2 linked regions of the Tribolium castaneum genome follow. The protein of the gene in region 1 binds, or shares a complex with, the protein of each later gene. Links are inferred from orthologs where the notes say so. Each region holds a gene or a part of one and is shown in the gene's direction. Other genes may lie near its edges. The genes, in order: nito and Mettl3.

Region 1 (3,922 bases):
TACACACATCTAAATGCAATAAACGGGTGTGTAAATGGCAAATATGACATGACGCATTAATTTTTATATTTAATGCTTGATTCAGCAATTGAAACATTTTATACAAAATATAAATAATTTCAGACAATCGCATTTATGGTTTGTATGAAATTTCTGTTTATAATTTTATTTGTTTGAACAGGTTTTATTAAAAATTAGCCACTTTTTTTCTTTCTGTGGTAATTAGATTTAGGTGCACTAGTTTTTCAGTAAATATCCGTGCACAAATAGGAAATTAACTTGAAAATTACTTGTTGTTCTTGACCAAATAAACCAAATAATTGAACGGCTTACAGGTATTTGATTTATTGCAAAAGTCGAGTCAAAATGCAAAATTTATTATGGATAACACCTTACTGCGGTAAAATAAAATGCTTAAGTAGGAATTACTTCAAGCGCTGAAAAAGTCAGTCTTATTTATCTGTATTTTTATAAATGTGGGATTTTTACCGACAAGTCAAATATCGTAAATTTTAATTAATCATCACTCTGATGCAGCTATTTTTTTTTGAAGAATGTTACAATTCCTCCAAATTTATTCATTAGAAAATAATCCTAATTAAACAACGAATTTTTTGTCAATATTTTAATTGAATTTAATCCGTATTTATATAATCATTCAGATTTGGATACTTTTAGTAGTCACGGAACAAGAATACTTGAAATAAGTTTGGGGTGTGAATAAAATTTGACTGCACTAAGTTAAATTAAAATTTATTTGTCTTGACGAATGCTGGTCTCATTAGGTTGCATAAAATTATACATTAATGAGAAAATAGTTTTTGTTTTAGTTATGTCTGTATGTTTTTTTAAATAATAATATAATTTATTCGGAACAATTTATTAGGCCAGGAAGAGTTATGTCTGAGTTCTCAATAATTTAAATTTTGCAATGTAGATAACCAATAATACAGCCTTGCATTTGGCATCTGTCCGACACTCTCAAATAATAATGTATAAAATTATAAAACTTAGATTTTCTACCAGAAACGTAGATTTAGTAGTAAGTACTATTGTAACTAGCAATTCGTTTAAATTGAAACTTGGCCACATTGAATAAACCGTTTCAACTTGACCGGACTTCGCCAATTCCATCCCACGCCTGCGTACCACCACTTTGCCTTGTCACATCCGCCATATTGTCCACCATTCGCTTCCATTTCTGTGATGCCCCAACGCAGCACTCATCCACCTCAGTAAATGGTGATAAAACTCATTATTGTGCCCCTAAGTAAGCCCCCACACCCACACACACACACCCCGCTGTAAGTTTCCATTGCAGGCGTTAGTGTTTATGCTCGCCTCCAGCCGAGACAAAATAACAGTCCGCATCCAAAACATGAAACGCAGCAGCGACCGCGACACGCCCCCACGCAGCAAACGCTCCCGTTCAAGCATGGGCCGGTACGACGACAGCTCCGACGAACGCCTAACCCCCGAACGCGTCCGCCGTCGTGGAAGCCGCAATCGCTCGCCCAGCCCCCGCCCCAGGTATGTCAGCCCGCATCGCGATGAATATCTGCGCCCCCCTGAACGCGCCTACCCTTACAAAGTGCTCTGCGTCAGCGCCCTACACCCCAAAGCCAGCGATGAAGTGATCAAAGACACGCTCTATCGAGAGTACAAAAAATACGGCGATCTGAGCATTAGACTATCGCATGATGTTGATGAACGCGTAGCTTATGTGTGCTTCCGGAATCCGGAGGATGCACGTGATGCCAAACACGGGAAACCCCGGATTATTATTTATGATAAAGTTGCGATTGTTGAACCTGTGTATGAAGTGCCCAGGTCAAGTGATATTTATAGGAGTCGCCCCAGGTCTATTACACCAGAGTATGATCGGCATTATTATGCTAGGTCACCTGAACGGTTAAGGGTTGATCGGTACGATAGGGCTTACGGGCCCCCGCCAGGGGTCCCAGTACATAGAGATTATCGCAGGGAGGCTTTACCTGCTCCTCATGAGTATTTGGCAAGGCCTCCGATTCATCACCCGGCACATTTAACCCCAAGTCATGGATACGGCCCCCCACGACATACGGTCCCAAGGCCCCCCTTTGAAAAAACAGAGAATAAAAAAGACAAGTTTCCGAATTATTTGCACCACATTCAACCAGAAGATGACCCGTTAGCGACTCGTACGTTATTTGCCGGTAATTTAGAAATTAATATCACAGAAGAAGAGTTGCGTCGCATTTTCGGTCGTTACGGTGTTGTTGAAGATATAGATATCAAGAGACCACCACCTGGCACAGGCAATGCCTTTGCTTTCGTTCGGTTTCACACCCTTGATATGGCCCACCGTGCTAAAGTCGAATTATCAGGTCAATACATCGGAAAGTTCCAGTGTAAAATTGGTTACGGGAAAGCAACCCCAACTACACGTATCTGGGTTGGGGGGCTTGGCCCTTGGACTTCAGTCCCCCAACTAGAACGTGAGTTTGATCGTTTTGGGGCTATCAAGAAAATCGATTACGTCAAGGGCGACAATCAAGCCTATATTCTGTACGACAGTATCGATGCAGCACAAGCGGCTGTGAAGGAAATGAGAGGAGCCCCACTTGGGGGGCCTGACCGTCGCCTCAGGACTGACTTTGCGGACGTGACACCGGGAGTCGTCTACCGACCTAAACCCCCCTATCCTGGACATGAAGACAGTCTCGATTACCGCCGCCTTGACTACGATTACGACTACGACGACTACGCCACCCGGGGGTACAGGGGTCGTGCTGCCTACCCCGAACGCCGCGCCGGCAGCCGGGGCCCTTACCGCTACCCCGAGACAACTGAAGATGAATGGGGGCGCTCACGCCCCGAATACGAACGCCGCCGTTCCGTTGACCGCTCCAGGTCCAGGTCACCGAGACGTTCCCCTGATTCGGATTCGGATAATGGGTCTCGTAGAGCTGGGTTGCTCGCATCTAGTCGGACTCTCCCCGAAGTGGCACGGAAGTGTACGACAGTGTGGCAAGGTGCTTTGATTTTGAAGAATTCGCTGTTTCCGGCCAAGTTTCATTTGATTGATGGCGATACGGATATTGTGGAAGGGTTGATGAAGGACGAGGATGGAAAACATCAGCTGAGGATTACGCAAAGGTTGAGGTTGGATCAGCCAAAGTTGGAGGATGTGCAAAGGAGAATTTCGGGGGCGAGTTCGCATGCGATTTTCTTGGGGTTGGCGGGGTCGACGGCGTCGGTCACGAATGATGATAGTACGGTGCAGACGAGGCCGTTGAGGAATTTGGTGTCGTATTTGAAGCAGAAGGAAGCAGCTGGGGTTATTTCGTTGTTGAATAAGGAGACGGAAGCGACAGGGGTTTTGTATTCGTTTCCGCCGTGTGCGTTTTCGACAGAGTTGCTTAAACGTACGTGTCCGAATCTGTCGGAGGAGGCGATCAAGGAGGATCATTTGGTTATTGTTGTGGTACGTGGTGGTACTGCTTAATTTTTATGACTGTATAGTCGTTGACTATACTGTATTATTATTTTGTTTTTTTTTACTTATTTTATGAGGTAGAGCTCATTTTTTTTACCCCCCTCCAGGTCTACACTGGCTAATTTTGTTGACAGTTTAAACAAATTGTACATTTTTCAGGAAATTGGTGATCAACAACGATGTTGATTGTGTTGATGATGATGATGATGCTTTATCATTTAAGTGCTTACTGAATTTGTTTTGTGAACTTTGAAAATATTCTGTAACTTGATTTAGTGCTGAAGTGAATTTAGTTTAAGTGGTTGCAGTTCTTTCTCATAGTATCTGTCATTTGTATTAGTGGAACATTCTGTAAGGATTTATCTGTTGTTATGTGAAAGGACTGTAAAAGGAAACAATTAACTACAGTGTTGTAGTGTTCTGTGCAAATAGTTACTCTTTATA
Region 2 (3,922 bases), about 1.5 Mb from region 1:
ACGTGATTAATTTACTCAACGCTTCGTTGTTTCTCAAGGGGGCTTCGGTGACCCCCCAAGTTGGCTTTTTGCGATTTTTGAAATTTGTTAGCGAGCTTCAGTGCGATATTCAGGCGGTTGTGGTCAATTTCAACAATGAGATTGCAAGTGAGACACTTGCAGAAATCGACTCGAAACTCCTCCAAAATCGCGAGGCTTTGCCCGATTTATTTATCGCAATGCCGTACGACGGCTGTGAGTCTGTTTTTACCAAAAGGGGGCCCTCGAAGTTGGTCTTGCGGAGGGTCAAACAACTGGCAAGTGAGTCTTTGAATTGTTTTGGGCAAATCATCAAAGGAGAGAGTTTTGGTTCAATTAAAAGCTTGTTTATTCCGAATCTTGAGGGGTACGATGTTATTATTCACTTGCGCCCCCTTTTGAACCCCGTACGACACGAACAAGTCACTGGGGACGAGTCCGAGGGGCAAATTGTTTTGGAGGAATTTAACAGAAACGAAAGCACGAAAATTCCAGTCACTGGCTTTAACCCAGTTCAGTTGTATTTGGCCGAACTGCGCAAACATTACGGCGATTTTGCCAATTTTTTCCACGATACGTACGGAGGTAATTTTATCGGGGTTTTGTGGATACCTAAAGCTTTGGAAAGTCGAGACTTCAAGGTGAGATTTTTAGATGTTTTTTGATTTATTACATTTATTTTTAGGTGTCTTATGCAAGCGGGAGGAAACTTGTGAATGGAAAATTGGAGCTGAACGTGGATGCGTTGATTGAAGACTTTTATATTGTGGGAAAAGGCTTAGTCAAGTCAATTGATAAGAAGAAATAAAAAATCAAACAATTACTCTTATTATTTCTAACCATTACAAACCTTACAAATTAGTTTTTTTGGGCCCTCACGTGCTCAATAACCAGTTTTTCGGTGCTATATAATTGACTTACGACCACCTGGAGATAATTACGTCAATTAACCCCTAAACGAATTAATTGTGAATACCTGTCTTTTAATTACATCTAAATTACGAACTCCTTCATCCATTTTTTGCCTAATCACGTCCTGGTCAGTCAATTGTCTATTTTCCCGAAAACTGTCCCTTATCTTCCTTAAGGCATAGTGTCTACAACCCCCAATGAAAAAATCGTTTGCAAAAACGCCCTTACCTGAAGTTATAAGCCGGAAACTTCTTCGACTCGCGAATCAGAGCTTTATACAACTGCAACGCCTGTCTTTTACTCATTTTGCCCCAATTTTACGAAACCGAAAGAACATAACCAAAGAGTTGAGGTTGTGTTAGTTAGCGTTAGCCGTAACCTCAAACATGTGTTAGTTGTGTTTTTTTGGCGGAAAATAGTCTTTTGAAATGTCGGACGCTTGGGAAGAGATCCAAGCTATCAAAAGCAAGCGGAACATCCTGCGCGAACGCCTGGAAAAGCGCAAGAAGGAGCGGCAGGACATCCTTGGTTCGAGTCTCAACTCGTCACCTGTGCACCTGTCCGACAGCCCCCATGCGGGTGGTGTTGGGGGCGAAGATGTTAAAAGACCAGAGGAGGGTGAAATCGATTTGGTGAAAATCGACCCAGAGCTGGAGAAAGAGTTGTTGAAGGCGCTGAGCGAAGTCACTCTTCAGATCCCCACAACTTCGACGGAATTGGTCGATTCGTTGAAATTGACTTTGAAGCGACATGCCTCACATAAGGAAGTTTGCAATTTGTTGCAAAAATTCTCAACTCAGAAGTTGATCACTATCAAGGATTTAGTCAAAGAGGGGAAGAACGTGGTCGAAGTGACTTTTATCGATGTGACTAAAGTTAACGCAATGATTGCGGAGTTTTTGCCTGAACGGGTGAGGGAATCCCTGAAGCGGAAGCGAAACGACTCGGAGAAAAACGAAGACGAAGAGAAGAGGAAAAAAGAGAAGAAGGAACCAAAAGCTGACATCATGGTAATTAACTGATTGATTCTGTCCTTTTAATTAATTAATTTCCCTAGTCTTTACTATCAATGCCCTCAACGAAAGAAAAAGAGAGTAAAAAACTGGGCGAAGAAATTCTAGATCTGTTGAGTAAACCAACGGCCAAAGAGCGTTCGCTGGCCGAGCGCTTCAGGTCTCAAGGGGGCAAACAACTGATGGAGTTTTGCCCCCATGGGACTCGCGCCGACTGCGAACGAAACGGAATCACAGACTGCAAAAAATTGCATTTTAAAAAAATCATACAAAAACACACTGACGAAGCTTTAGGGGATTGTTCCTTCCTTAACACTTGTTTCCACATGGACACTTGTAAATACGTCCACTATGAAGTCGATCGCTGTGGGCAAACGGAGGGCGTAGCCCCGGCCGCCACCGCCGTCTCAGTGGCCCCAAAAGAAAGCACTACCTTGTACCCCCCGCAGTGGGTGCAGTGCGACCTGCGCTATCTCGACATGACTGTCTTAGGTTTGTTTGTCGGTCTTAATAATATTTGCGTTTGGTCGTGACTTCCAAAATTTAAAATCTTGTGAAAAGCTGCCATAATACGTCAAATGAGCCCAGAATTCACTGGAACAAACCGTTTTGCTCTACGACTTTTAGCTTTTGAGTTATAAATTTTTTTGTTGTAGAATTAAAAATTCCTCTTGAAATGGCTACCTTCATTTTTCAGCTCAATTATGGCAAAACTATTCAAAAAAGTGGAACAATTTTGATGGAAATCAATGTAAAATAATCCGGGGAATCGATTGGTGACGAGAAAATCGCCAAATACCCAGTAGTTTTTAAGTTACGAATTTTTTTCATTTTATTTTTTTTTATTTTTTTTGCAATTATCTCGAAAACTGTCGGAGAACGATGATTTTTTTAAATAACTGTTTTTCCCCGACATTTCCGAAAATATTAATGGTTGAATTTAGGAAAATTCGCCGTGATAATGGCGGACCCCCCCTGGGACATCCACATGGAGCTGCCCTATGGGACCATGTCCGACGACGAGATGCGTCAGCTGGGGATCCCCCAGCTGCAAGACGAGGGCCTGATTTTCCTGTGGGTGACAGGCCGTGCCATGGAGCTGGGCCGCGAGTGCCTCCAATTGTGGGGCTACGAGCGCGTTGACGAAATAATCTGGGTGAAGACGAACCAATTGCAGCGCATTATCAGGACGGGGCGCACCGGCCATTGGCTGAACCACGGCAAGGAGCACTGTCTCGTGGGCATGAAGGGCAACCCCCAGAACCTCAACCGGGGACTAGACTCGGACGTGATCGTGGCCGAAGTGCGCGCCACGAGCCACAAACCGGACGAAATCTACGGAATGATCGAGCGACTCTCGCCCGGGACGCGCAAAATCGAGCTGTTCGGGCGCCCCCACAACATCCAGCCCAACTGGATCACTTTGGGGAACCAAGTGGACGGGATCAAGCTGGTCGACGCAGAACTGATCGAGAATTTCAAGAAACGCTACCCCACGGGGAACTGTATGGGGCCCCCCGGTGACACGACCCATTAATTTGTTTATGTTTTGGTGGAGTGGTGGCGACTTTTTGCCTTATTGACTGGTGGTTTAGTGTCTTTAATCGCGTGGAGTTGGGGGGGCATCAGCTGATTTTGACAGATGTCAGGTTTGACAAGATGGCGCTTGGAAGTTTTACGAGTTTTTAGACAAAGGATCGTTCGATTTAAGAGAAAAAGAATAAACAGTTTTGATTTGTTGCTTGTTGTGTATTATTGTTGATTAAAGACTGGTTTTTATTGATTGCGGAAAATGCTGACGCTCAACGTTGTTCCTGAACGTTCTTTGGGCTGTGAACAGTGGGAGTTTATTGTAGGTGGGTTTCCCTTTTCTCTATTATTTTTATTGCGCGTAACATGGTTGACATCGTTTTTGCGATGGGGCGATGTGACGGCCAACACTGAATGGAAATTTGACCCATTTTACGTAACGCTAATTG

Evidence for each region.
Region 2: nito (region 1) and Mettl3 share a complex: the UniProt entries of both Drosophila melanogaster proteins name them as parts of the WMM complex. The link is inferred for Tribolium castaneum from reciprocal best matches to the Drosophila melanogaster genes nito and Mettl3.

Annotation. Positions count from the first base shown.
Region 1 is NC_087396.1:24,540,525-24,544,446, forward strand, and holds the start of nito (RNA-binding protein spenito), read left to right. Parts: upstream 1-1,115; 5' UTR 1,116-1,270; intron 1,271-1,321; 5' UTR 1,322-1,333; coding exon 1,334-3,466; coding exon of another isoform or gene 3,467-3,487; exon of another isoform or gene 3,488-3,637; coding exon 3,638-3,664; 3' UTR 3,665-3,922. UniProt on the Drosophila melanogaster protein: RNA-binding protein that acts as an associated component of the WMM complex, a complex that mediates N6-methyladenosine (m6A) methylation of mRNAs. M6a modification plays a role in the efficiency of mRNA splicing and is required for sex determination.
Region 2 is NC_087396.1:23,067,332-23,071,253, forward strand, and holds Mettl3 (N6-adenosine-methyltransferase catalytic subunit), read left to right. Parts: upstream 1-1,358; coding exon 1,359-1,940; intron 1,941-1,987; coding exon 1,988-2,435; intron 2,436-2,887; coding exon 2,888-3,480; 3' UTR 3,481-3,684; downstream 3,685-3,922. Other genes in the region: Mat89Ba (nucleolar protein 6), read left to right, coding at 1-659, 704-826; protein bcn92, read right to left, coding at 877-945, 995-1,115, 1,159-1,235; PHAF1 protein CG7083, read left to right, coding at 3,736-3,799. UniProt on the Drosophila melanogaster protein: Catalytic component of the WMM complex, a complex that mediates N6-methyladenosine (m6A) methylation of mRNAs, a modification that plays a role in the efficiency of mRNA splicing and is required for sex determination.